Linked DNA regions of Coturnix japonica. The protein of the gene in region 1 binds, or shares a complex with, the protein of each later gene. Links are inferred from orthologs where the notes say so. Each region holds a gene or a part of one and is shown in the gene's direction. Other genes may lie near its edges.

Evidence for each region.
Region 2: SNRNP200 (region 1) and PLRG1 share a complex: the UniProt entries of both Homo sapiens proteins name them as parts of the minor spliceosome. The link is inferred for Coturnix japonica from reciprocal best matches to the Homo sapiens genes SNRNP200 and PLRG1.
Region 3: SNRNP200 (region 1) and LSM3 share a complex: the UniProt entries of both Homo sapiens proteins name them as parts of the U4/U6-U5 tri-snRNP complex. The link is inferred for Coturnix japonica from reciprocal best matches to the Homo sapiens genes SNRNP200 and LSM3.

Annotation. Positions count from the first base shown.
Region 1 is NC_029537.1:1,041,152-1,044,035, reverse strand, and holds the end of SNRNP200 (U5 small nuclear ribonucleoprotein 200 kDa helicase), read left to right. Parts: intron 1-33; coding exon 34-223; intron 224-316; coding exon 317-481; intron 482-740; coding exon 741-862; intron 863-944; coding exon 945-1,088; intron 1,089-1,168; coding exon 1,169-1,345; intron 1,346-1,454; coding exon 1,455-1,615; intron 1,616-1,704; coding exon 1,705-1,786; intron 1,787-1,874; coding exon 1,875-1,967; intron 1,968-2,050; coding exon 2,051-2,194; 3' UTR 2,195-2,361; downstream 2,362-2,884. UniProt on the Homo sapiens protein: Catalyzes the ATP-dependent unwinding of U4/U6 RNA duplices, an essential step in the assembly of a catalytically active spliceosome. Plays a role in pre-mRNA splicing as a core component of precatalytic, catalytic and postcatalytic spliceosomal complexes.
Region 2 is NC_029519.1:18,056,467-18,060,615, reverse strand, and holds the start of PLRG1 (pleiotropic regulator 1), read left to right. Parts: upstream 1-1,246; 5' UTR 1,247-1,275; coding exon 1,276-1,359; intron 1,360-2,523; coding exon 2,524-2,630; intron 2,631-3,173; coding exon 3,174-3,316; intron 3,317-3,540; coding exon 3,541-3,594; intron 3,595-3,701; coding exon 3,702-3,795; intron 3,796-4,149. UniProt on the Homo sapiens protein: Involved in pre-mRNA splicing as component of the spliceosome. Component of the PRP19-CDC5L complex that forms an integral part of the spliceosome and is required for activating pre-mRNA splicing.
Region 3 is NC_029527.1:8,367,169-8,371,505, forward strand, and holds LSM3 (U6 snRNA-associated Sm-like protein LSm3), read left to right. Parts: upstream 1-1,485; 5' UTR 1,486-1,562; coding exon 1,563-1,583; intron 1,584-1,872; coding exon 1,873-1,983; intron 1,984-2,939; coding exon 2,940-3,035; intron 3,036-3,345; coding exon 3,346-3,426; 3' UTR 3,427-3,734; downstream 3,735-4,337. Other genes in the region: XPC (DNA repair protein complementing XP-C cells), read right to left, coding at 1-95, 973-1,171, 1,371-1,485. UniProt on the Homo sapiens protein: Plays a role in pre-mRNA splicing as component of the U4/U6-U5 tri-snRNP complex that is involved in spliceosome assembly, and as component of the precatalytic spliceosome (spliceosome B complex).

The DNA of each region.
Region 1 (2,884 bases):
ATCCCCTCCCCTTCTACCTCTGCTTTGCTGTAGGATTTCTTCAAGAAGTTCCTTTACGAGCCGCTGCCGGTGGAATCCCACCTGGATCATTGCATGCACGACCACTTCAACGCCGAGATAGTCACCAAGACCATTGAAAACAAGCAGGACGCTGTGGATTACCTCACCTGGACCTTCCTGTACCGCAGGATGACGCAGAATCCCAACTACTACAACCTGCAGGGTGAGCAGGGGGGGCTGCATGGTTGGGGGGGGACAGCAGGAAAGCAGCTATTGTCCAGCATGGGGGATTCTGAGCACACTGCTGGTCCCACAGGTGTGTCCCATAGGCATCTCTCCGATCACCTCTCGGAGCTGGTGGAGCAAACCCTGAGCGACCTGGAGCAATCCAAGTGCATCAGCATCGAGGACGAGATGGACGTGGCTCCCCTGAACCTGGGGATGATCGCGGCTTATTACTACATCAACTACACCACCATCGGTGAGGGGGGCAGGGGAGGCAGTGCAGTGCTTGATGCTGCTCTGTGCTGTGTCTGGAGGCAGTGCAGTGCTTGCTGTGCTTGCAGTGCTTGCTGTGCTGTGTCTGGATGCAGGGGGTGAAGGGGGGAAAGCACCGTGTGCCTGCAGCTCCCCCATTCAGCACCAGGCTGCATGTTGTGTGCCTGAAGGCCTCTCTTACATCACCCAGCCAAATGCTGCTCTCTTCTTCCTCACCCCATTGACCTCCCTGTCCCCCCCAGAGCTCTTCAGCATGTCCCTCAACGCCAAAACCAAAGTGCGAGGGCTGATAGAAATCATCTCCAACGCTGCCGAGTATGAGAACATCCCCATCCGGCACCACGAGGACAACCTGCTGCGCCAGGTGATGCAGAACAAAACCTGCCTTTGTGTCCTGCCCTGCGAGGCTTCAGATCTAACCCCTCATTCATGTCCCCCCCCCACAGCTGGCCCAGAAGGTCCCCCACAAACTGACCAACCCCAAATTCAACGACCCCCACGTCAAGACCAACCTCCTGCTCCAGGCTCATCTATCGCGCATGCAGCTGAGCGCCGAGCTGCAGTCGGACACGGAGGAGATCCTCAGCAAGGTGCAGCAGGGCGGGCAGGGGGAGATGATGCTGCATCCCCCAGTGCTGCTTTCTAAGCCACCCCCATCTCTTGTATGCAGGCGATCCGGCTGATCCAGGCCTGTGTGGACGTCCTGTCCAGCAATGGGTGGCTGAGCCCAGCTCTGGCCGCTATGGAGCTGGCGCAGATGGTGACACAAGCCATGTGGTCCAAGGATTCCTACCTCAAACAGCTGCCTCACTTCACCTCTGAGCACATCAAGCGCTGCACCGACAAGGTAAAACCCAAACCAGAACCACGGCTCCGTGCTGGACAACTAGAGGTGGTGATATAGGCATGGAGACCCCATGGTAAGCATAGGGCTGAGTGCTGTGCTGCTGCTGCAGGGGGTGGAGAGCGTGTTCGACATCATGGAGATGGAGGACGAGGATCGGAACGCGCTGCTGCAGCTCTCGGATGCTCAGATCGCCGACGTCGCCCGCTTCTGCAACCGCTACCCCAACATCGAGCTGTCGTATGAGGTGGTGGAGAAGGAAAGCATCCGCAGGTGAGGGATTGAGGGGGTACATGGGATGGCAGCGTGCTGCAGCCATGCAGCGCTGCATTGGCACCCTGACATCCCTTCTGTCCATGCAGTGGTGGGCCCGTGGTGGTGCTGGTGCAGCTGGAGAGGGAGGAGGAGGTGACCGGCCCCGTCATCGCCCCCCTGTTCCCACAGGTGTGTGCCAGGACATGGGGGGGGTTTGGGGGCAGCCATCCCTATGGGCAACATCCCCAATGTTGTTTGTCTGCTCTTTGCCCTGCAGAAACGTGAGGAGGGTTGGTGGGTGGTGATCGGAGACTCCAAGTCCAACAGCCTCATCTCCATCAAGAGGCTGACGCTGCAGCAGAAGGCCAAGGTGAGCGGGGCTGTGTGGGGCTGCCCTGTGTTCGCCCCCCATCCCGACCCCACAGCCCTGACCCCATTTATTCCCCTCTCCAGGTGAAGCTGGATTTCGTGGCTCCGGCCACAGGGACCCACAACTACACGCTGTATTTCATGAGCGACGCCTACATGGGCTGCGACCAGGAGTATAAATTCAGTGTGGATGTGAAGGAGGCCGAGAGCGACAGTGAATCCGATTAGCAGCTGTGGGGCTGCACTGCCCCGCTCTGGTGAGGACCCCCGACCAAACCCTGATGCTCCTTATCTCCCTCTGTATCTTATTGCCTGTTTTTTATGGTGTTGTACAGTGTTTGATAGAACAGAGCTGCGTCTGAAGCAGCTGCAATAAATGCTGAGCCTTCCTCCCCCCCCTTCCCCCCATTTATTTGTTTGGGGCTGAAAGCTGAGAAGCATTTGGGGTCGTTTCCCCCCTAATAAAGCGCTCTGCTTTTCTGCCTTTAACTGTGAGGCTGAATTTCAACACCTCCCCCATGTTGCATAGTGCTTCTATGCCCTTATGTTGGCTGCTGCGAGTTAATTAGCAAAACTAATTAAGGCAAAGTGAGCTGTCAGCAGGGAGCTGGGCCATGCTGGGGTTTGGCAGCAGGAGAACAAGCTGGGAGCAGCACAGACACAGCAATGCAGCCCCGGGGCTGTGCTTTATGGGGGGGTACAGCCCTCACAAAACCTGTTCCCTCCCCCCATCACCCTCCAGCCCCAAAGGCAGCACCTCCACCCTCACCCATAAGAAGAGCCCGGAGGCTTTGAGTTGACAGCAGGGATTTATTGAGCAGCCAGCAGCAGGAGGCAGCGATCCCTTCTCTCTAAGCCCCCCCAGCTCCCAGCAGAGCTTTGGGACAGCCACAATTCACCTGGAGTCCAAATGGTGCA
Region 2 (4,149 bases), on another chromosome or scaffold:
CCGTGTCTGTACCACAAGGCTTTTTCCTGAAGAGGCTTTTCAGCAAAGCTCCACCTGCATGGGGACATGACTTACACTGGCGAGAAATGCTTCTAGCATGAGTCAGAATCTGGAACTGCAGGGGGAGCAAGGTATATTGGAAAACATACATGAATATAACAAATATTTGGGGAGCAGGACCTAATCTCCATTAGTTGGCTTGCTGGGTGTGAGATGGGACTTTTCTTTGATGCTTGCAACTGTTACAGCTAGGCTGACACTGTATAACGACTGGATAAAGCCTTATGAACAACCAAGAACATGGCTTAATCTTCTTCTTAAAACGGTGTCAAGGAGGCTTTGTCTCCAAACAGAACATCTTTCTTCGTTGTGTTTTCTTCACTTCCTCCCCAGCTCACATGGTTAATGAGAAACTCTTCCTGAACTCACGTAGTGTTGATAATGCAACAAATCTGCTATGAAGAACTGCGAAAAGAAAGCATTGACCTGATGGTATTCCGGTATCTCTTTGTAGCATTCCGAAATGGTATTCCAGAACATCTCTTTGTACACTGCTTTTGTCCTGGAGAGCTACTTACTGGCAGAGGTGTATGTGTGTGTTTTTAGGAATGAATTTTCATGTGCCGCCTCTTGTGTTTGCTTTGCCAAATCATCTGCCCATGGTGCAACACTCTTTACACAAACCCCATCCTTGTATGTTGGCTCCTTTAGGCTGAACACATCACAGAGGTAATTTGGGCCAAGGGGGAATAGAGCCATCTTGGGCCACTGATAAGCTGTGCCAGTAAATGTGATTTTGAAAGGAATCCAGTTGTTGGCAGCTGATTTAGAAACGTCCTTGGAAGCCGCTGGCGTTGTACATGTCACACTGTGACAGGGTTACTGTAGAATTAGATGTTCAATTAGATGTAAACGTTTGGGGGGGGGGGGGTCTTTAAAAAAAGAGTGTAATTACAGGCCTCTGTAAAATCTAAGGATGCTGTAATAAGTAGCACATGTAAGTGAAGTTTTCTTACAAAACACAGATCTTTCTTTTCTCGGATTGCTACAAAGGTCTCTATTTCAAGGAGGTTTTCCTTTCAAGATGCACTAAAAACGAGCCCGATTCACTCAGCAGACGACAGCACGCAAAGTGCCGAGACTGTAAGTTCAAAACAAAACAAACCAACATATTATTATTAAAACAAACCAAGAACAAAACGCCAGTGCAACACCGCACCCTGGCGTTGCAAGCTCCTCAATGCAGCCCGGCGCACCCGATTTGCGTCACTTCCTATGAGGTATAGAGCAGGAGCCGGACGTGTCTCCATCGCTGTCGGTGGGGAGCGGGGAGCGGGGAGCGACGGCGCCATGGTGGAGGTGAGGGCGGTTCAGTTCTTGTGTTACTGAGTGTTGTTGGTAGGAGCACAGAAGATGCTGTGCAGTTCTCCTACGTAACAGTTCTTTTACTGGGTGTCATCACTGTCCAGAGATATCTATAGTTGTTCACCTCCTGTTGTGGAGGTATTGAGTTACCTATTGCTTTTATTGCGACAAGCAGACATTTGCTACTGTAATTCCTGTTTCTTTTTGCAGTTGCATGGAATTTCTAGTTCCCAAGCCCTATTATAGATGTTCTTTATTTGATATCTAGATTTTACAGGACCGTCCTGAGCTAAAAGTTTTGTGTGGGCCCTACTGAGTTAGGGGAGTATGAAGTGTGGCAGAATGGGGCAATGAGTGGGTAAGCAGAGTCCAGGGCAGGAAAGCAGAGCTTAGTGGAGGAAGCCCCAGCTTAATGGAGTGTGGAGGCTGGGCAGCTGAATGGTAACTAGAGCCCGAAGTTCTTAATGCTTCCACTCTGTGTTGCTCCTATTTGTGACATACAGAGCGAGCACAAAGAGGCTCATACTCTGATTATCACATCTCTAATTATTTATTTATTGTGCCTTGAGAGGAAGGTAGGAATTAAAACCTGAATTGCGCGGTCCTAAACAAATATTCTATATAAGCTAATAGCTTTAAGTTCTACTATTTTGGCCCTGACTGAGATATTAACAATTATTAGCTTTTAGTAATGTGTAATTTCAAAAGGACAAGAGGCTTTGTCTTATTTGATCCCAGGATTACTTCTTATAGTAAACATCACTGTTCTTACATAGGGTGACACTGTGCAGAAACTGATGTTCATTTTTATGGAGGTAGTGCAATAAAGGAATGTTTTCAGAATCAGGTACTTTATTGTTTAGGTATAAAAGCATCTAGAAAACATGGAAGATAAACGTATTCATGTATTTTTAGATGATAGTGCAAATTTTTTCTGGCTTGTCATTTCTGAGAAACTGGGTTTTACTTTGAGCAGGCATTGAATTAAAACAACTAATAGATATACTTGAATCTGTAGTTTCTAAGAGGAGCAGTGTTTGATGGGAATAGTGTTGTATCATATGCAAGTCTGAAATTGCTACTCAGTTTCTTTTTCAGATTTCAGTTTTTCATTTAAACGTGGCTAAATTTATTTAAATATGCTTTCCTTTATTTTAGGAAGTCCAGAAGCACTCTGTGCACACACTTGTGTTCAGATCTTTGAAGAGAACCCATGATATGTTTGTAGCTGATAATGCCAAACCTGTACCATTAGATGATGAAAGGTGAGTGCTGTGGCTGAGTTTTACTTTGTTAGCAATTGTTCTATAGAATCATAGAATCACCAAGGTTGGAAAAGACCTAAAAGATCATCTAGTCCAACCGTTCACATTACTATTAGCTCCCGCTAAGCCAACACAACATCCAGTCGTTCCTTGAACACCCGCAGGGTCGGTGTCTCCACCACCTCCCTGGGCAGCCCATTCCAGTGCCTGACCACCCTTTCTGAGAAGTAGTAGTTCCTAATGTCCAGCCTGAATATCCCCTGCCACAGTTTGAAACCATTCATCTAGTCCTATCACTAATGACAAGAAAGAAGAGGCCAACCCCCAGCTCACTACAACCTCCCTTCAGGAAGTTATAGAGAACAATCCTATCCAAATCAGGAGTTTGGGTGTTCAGTACAATTAGCAGTTAAGGGAACTGAAAAGCATGAAGATTGTAATGTTAGCTGTATGAAAGGTTTCCTGTTTTTTAAAATATTTCAAAACTTAGTAGCAGTTCAAAAATCAGGATTTAATCAGGATTATGCTCTGTTCTTCCAACAGCCACAAAGTAAAGATGGCAGTCAAGCTGCGTACTGAGTACGGCTCAGTATTGCACATGCCTACTCTTAAAGAAAACATGAGAGAGAAAGGAGGCCCAGCCACTGGGGATCCATATGGACATAAACAGTATTCCGGAAATGAAGGTTTGTTATTCCTAGTACCATGTTTGTTCTTTGTTTTCACAAGGAAACAGTAGGAGACTTAATTCATTAGTAAAACAAGCAAGTTTTAAGGTAATGCTAGTGTGTGCTATATTTGGGTATTAGAGAGCTAATAAGGGTTGAGGATGTTGTCAAATTGAGGATGCTTTGCACCACCTACTCTGTTGTACTGTTTTGTTTGAATGCGTTATTTTGTTGGTCTTTAGGAGAAGAACTGGAGTATGTGATAACTGGCACACATCCATATCCACCTGGGCCTGGTAAGTAAAATTCTGTGTTTAAATCAGGTATTTCAGAGTTAAACTGAGATTTTTTTTTTAATTATTTTTTTAATTTTTTAATTTAATTTTGTTTTTTTTTTTTTAAGGTGTGGCTCTGACAGCAGACACTAAGATCCAGAGGATGCCGAGTGAATCTGCAGCTCAGTCCTTAGCAGTATCTCTTCCTGCTTCTCAGTCCAGGTACTGCTTTATTACTTCATTAACATTTGCATAATCTACAAGAACTACAAGTCAAAACAAAGTACTTTGAATATTCAGCTTTATAAAATACCTGAAAACCTGATCTAATGGTTTGCAACCTTGCCCATGGCAGGGGGGTTGGAACTAGATGACCTTTAAGATCCCCTCCAACTTAAGCCATTCTGTGATATGATTTTAAGTTGGTCAGATATCATCTTGGTGTATGCAGTGTTCTTTCTTGGCTGTCATTAGAGGCAGTGGACAGAAGGGGGAGAATGGGGATCACAGAATAACAGAATTGTAGGGGTTGGAAGGGACCTCTAGAGATCATTGAGTCCAACCCCCCTGCCAAAG
Region 3 (4,337 bases), on another chromosome or scaffold:
CATCATCATCATCAGTATTGTCTTCATCCATCTCTTTTTTAATAGGAGATTCTCTCTTCAACTTTACCTCCTTCTGAGGGGCCTTCACTGAGTCACTATTAAAATTACAAGAATGGTTTTAGCATCAGGAAGTGCATGGGTTTGTTCATTTAAAAATGGAAGGGAATGAAAACAAAAATGAGGAAATAAACAAAGCATCATCTCTGCATCAGTAACAACAGATGTAAAGGTTGTAAGTATTTGACAACTGAACCGTGTGTGTGCCTGTAAAGCGAGCAGTCTTTGCCATGAATAATTACAGGCTCGTTGAACAACAACGTTTCAGTGCAGACACAGGTCCTGGTTCTAACAGGTTGTTTGAATGAAGATGACTGAACCTAAAAACAATGACCCATCTTTCCTAACAGCTTGTATGAATGTCTTCATTGAATCATTTGTCTTTACTGAGACCTCATAATGCACTGGGATTGGAAGTGCTTGTGTTTCACTACGCTAACACCCAATGATTTGGTTGGCCAGTGAAATGAGACCAAGCAGCTTCATTCTTCTCATTAATACAATCCCCCTTGAAATCTCTACAGGAAGACCATATATCTCACAGCAATGTTTCTGTTCATGCTCGATGCCATAAAACCTCCCTAGTCTTGTGTAGAAATAAATGAAACGCTATCTTACAATTACGATATTGATTTGAAAAGGCTCAGATATTTGCTTCCCATGCAGACTGCCTTCCTCAGACAGATCCTGCCATCAGCCAGGCAGTACTTCTGTACAGCTGTGTGTCACAGACAAACTAAACTGGCCTGCCAGCTTAACGTAACCCCTTTATGTGAACATTGTAGGGCAATGGACCCTACACAACAACCACAACATCCAACCCACAACAACCACAACATCCAACCCACAACAACCACAACATCCAACCCACAGTGAGGTACAGAGCGCATCATGATGAACAACAGCTAAGCTTACCTGCACTTTTCCTCTTCGTGATCATCCCCTTTATTTTCAGGGTCTCTCTCATTTTCTTTCACTCGCCCTTTTACCCCTTTTTGTTTTGAAGGCTTCTCTGCTAACTTAGCAATTCCAGCATCACTGTCTTCCTCCTTCTTCCTAGCTGCAACTCCGGCTCTGCTCTTCTTTACACTGTGTTTTTCTTCAACAAAATCACCTACATCGAAAAGAAAGAAATTTTCTTCATGGATATAACCTCATCCCTATGGATACATAGCAATATCTCTGCAGGCTCCAGCAGAGCTGCACTGAACAACTCCAGCCCCGGCCCATCATGGGGGGCTGCTGAGCTCCATGCTGACTGCCTCCCTCCCTCAAAGCAGAGCAGCCCCAGAAGCCGAGCCTCCCACACTCACCCTCCTCACGTTCCTCCGCACCATCCCGCCGTACTCCCACCCCTCCAGGCCGCCTTTTGCCGGCAGACACCCGCTGAACCGACGCTTTGCGCTTCCTCGCCATAGCGGCGAGCATTACCCCGCCCCTTCAGAGCGGGGGGAAGAGGCCGGGCCATAAAGTATCACGAGAGAGAGCGAGAAGCGGTTTGAAAGATGGCGGACGAGGTGGATCAGGTGAATGGCTCTTTACTTTTCTTAGGGGGGAGCGGTGTTTCTGCGGCCACCCCGGCTGCCAAGTGAGGTGGTGAGGGCCTGAAGAGAGAGCTGGTGGGTTGGTGGCACATCCGTGTGCCTTCCCTTTGCCATATGCCGTGCTGCCGTGTTGGTTTGAGCCATGCAGCCTGTCTGCTTCTGTGTGGATACTGGGACTTGAGGGAGCGTTTCAGAATGCAAACTGAGGAGTGGAGGAGTTCGTATTCACTGCTCCTGCGTGAATAACTGCTTGTTTCGGTGTTGTTTTCAGCAACAGACAACGAATACCGTCGAGGAGCCCCTCGACCTCATCAGGCTCAGTCTGGATGAGAGGATCTATGTGAAGATGAGGAATGACAGAGAGCTCAGAGGCAGGCTGCATGTGAGTGCCAATTCCAAGCAGGCAGCAGGCTGTGCTGTTATGTGCAACTATTTGTTATGTTACTGTAATGTGCTCAACAGCAGCGCTTGGTTTGTGCAGTGTTCTGCCAGAGATTCAAAAGGTGCATTTTGTTTTTCCGTGTCTGTTGTCTTTTAAATGATTCCAAGTGATTCGTTCTCTTGATTTTTGCTTTTATTCCCATGTCTGTGGACTAAGTAATAATGCAGGCATCATCTCATAAAGGACTCTCGACTCTGTTAAGATGGAAATAAGTATATCAAGCAACTGTCTTGTAGAGCAAACCCAAGGACTGCTGGGATGTGTACTCAGCTGGGTTCTCTCCATACTTGATTTGTTCTTTGTTTTCTTTTGAGAGCGATGTCTCTTAGTGAGACAAACTTTTGTTTTCTGTTTGGTTGTGTTATCCTTCTGGAATGTGGTGCTGTGCTGAGGAAGGGAACCAGTTTCCCATGTGGTAACTGGGCCTCAAATACATTTGAGAACAAAAAGGTGAGGACAGATCTGTGATGCACTGGTATAATTCCTAAGTTCCCTTTGTAGGGTGTTTGGAACAAGTGCTTAATTAAAATTTATGTATTGTTGTTTGAGTTACAGCTCTCATAGCTATAGATAATCCAATCCCAGAAATCTGGGCTGATAGCAAATAATATTTAGTTGGATTAATGCTAACGACAAGAACAAGTGTGTCCACCTCTGAGAGTTTGTGCATGAGCTTCAGAAGGAGAGTTTCAGTGAGTATAAGAGCCTTCCTTATGCTGTGGAGTACTGATGTTGGCCTTTATAGTTGAAGTTACAGCTGATACATCATGTTCACACATGGAACATCTTGACCCAAATCAGGTTAAAATAATTTTGTTTGAGTGTCTTGCTAGAATTATGGATTTAATGAGCTTGTGCTTGAATTTTGGAAGAAGTAATGAACTTTGTTCCTACAGGCATATGATCAGCACTTAAATATGATTCTGGGCGATGTGGAAGAAACTGTAACAACAATAGAGATTGACGAAGAAACATACGAAGAGATTTATAAAGTAAGGACTTCAGTGTATTTACCTCCATAGAAAACTTCTTGCAATCTAGATTGTCATGTTGTCAAAATAATGTGTTGATAACTGCACCTTTTGGACTAGGATCTAGCAGGTGTTTTAGGCAAATTGTTATGAAAGCACAAAGGACATCCAGGTGCTTGTTGATTTTGATATCTTCAGCAGGACGCGAAGTTGCATGTTTGAGCTGATGTTTGTTGGTGTTTTTTTAGGATTGAATTTTGTCACATGCTTAGTAGATGTGTTCTGTATACTTCTCTTTTGTAAATGTAATCTTTTCTTTGCTTCTTCATAGTCTACCAAAAGGAATATTCCGATGCTCTTTGTCAGAGGTGACGGCGTTGTGCTTGTAGCTCCCCCGCTGAGGGTTGGCTGAAGCAACCAAGGATTGAACCTTCTTGGAAGGTTTCAGGCTCTTGGACGATTTGTTTTGATCATGTCTCAGAATTGCATACACTTTTTAATAGAACGTTTTTGCCTATTTTTTGTGGAAGAGGAATGAGTTTTTCTTGCAGAAAGTACCTGTCAGCTGAAGCAGTGTGAAAACCTCATTTTCCCCTGAATTAATGTAACTGCTGTAAATGAGCTGTGTGTGACATAAGTAAAAGCACCCTGTTTTTTCAATCTTGGGAATAGCAGTGTCTTTTTTTGTTTGTTTTAAATAAATTTGGTTTACCTTTCAGATTTGATGTGTTATGTTTTTGTTGAAAAGGTGATTTTAATGAACTTCTCTAGTGCTAATGCTGTATTAAGTTGTGATAATGTGGCTTTGCTTCCTGAGAAAGCAGTGACTTGTTTGGTGTTTTGATTTTTGTCCATACTGAAGTTTTCCAGATTGATGTTTTGGAGGAGGGCAACACTGTGTTGGTCTATGGTGTACTAATCTATGGTTTTATGTAAACATATCCTTGTAGGAGAGAAATTCTGTGTCCTGCTTAAAATGCATTGATAGAATAGAATTTTTACAGCTTTTTCAGATGCTTCTCTTGCAGCTTTGTTAGCAGAGCAAAGCTTAGCAATACCATCAGTAGGAAACAAATTTAGTAGCCTGATTTATGCATTCATTTGCCACCATTTGTAGCCATTTTCAGTTCTTGAACACATTAAATTCTGTAGAAAACCAAAGATGCTTCCTGGTTATCAGTGGGTGCACAAGAGCCTTGTACACTGCTTTTTTTAATACATAGTTTCTCAGGCCTTCCTGATTGCACTTTATTCTCATGGTGGGGCTGGAAGGGGAATGAATGTTTTACTTGGAATGGCTATGGAATGTTTTACGAGTATATT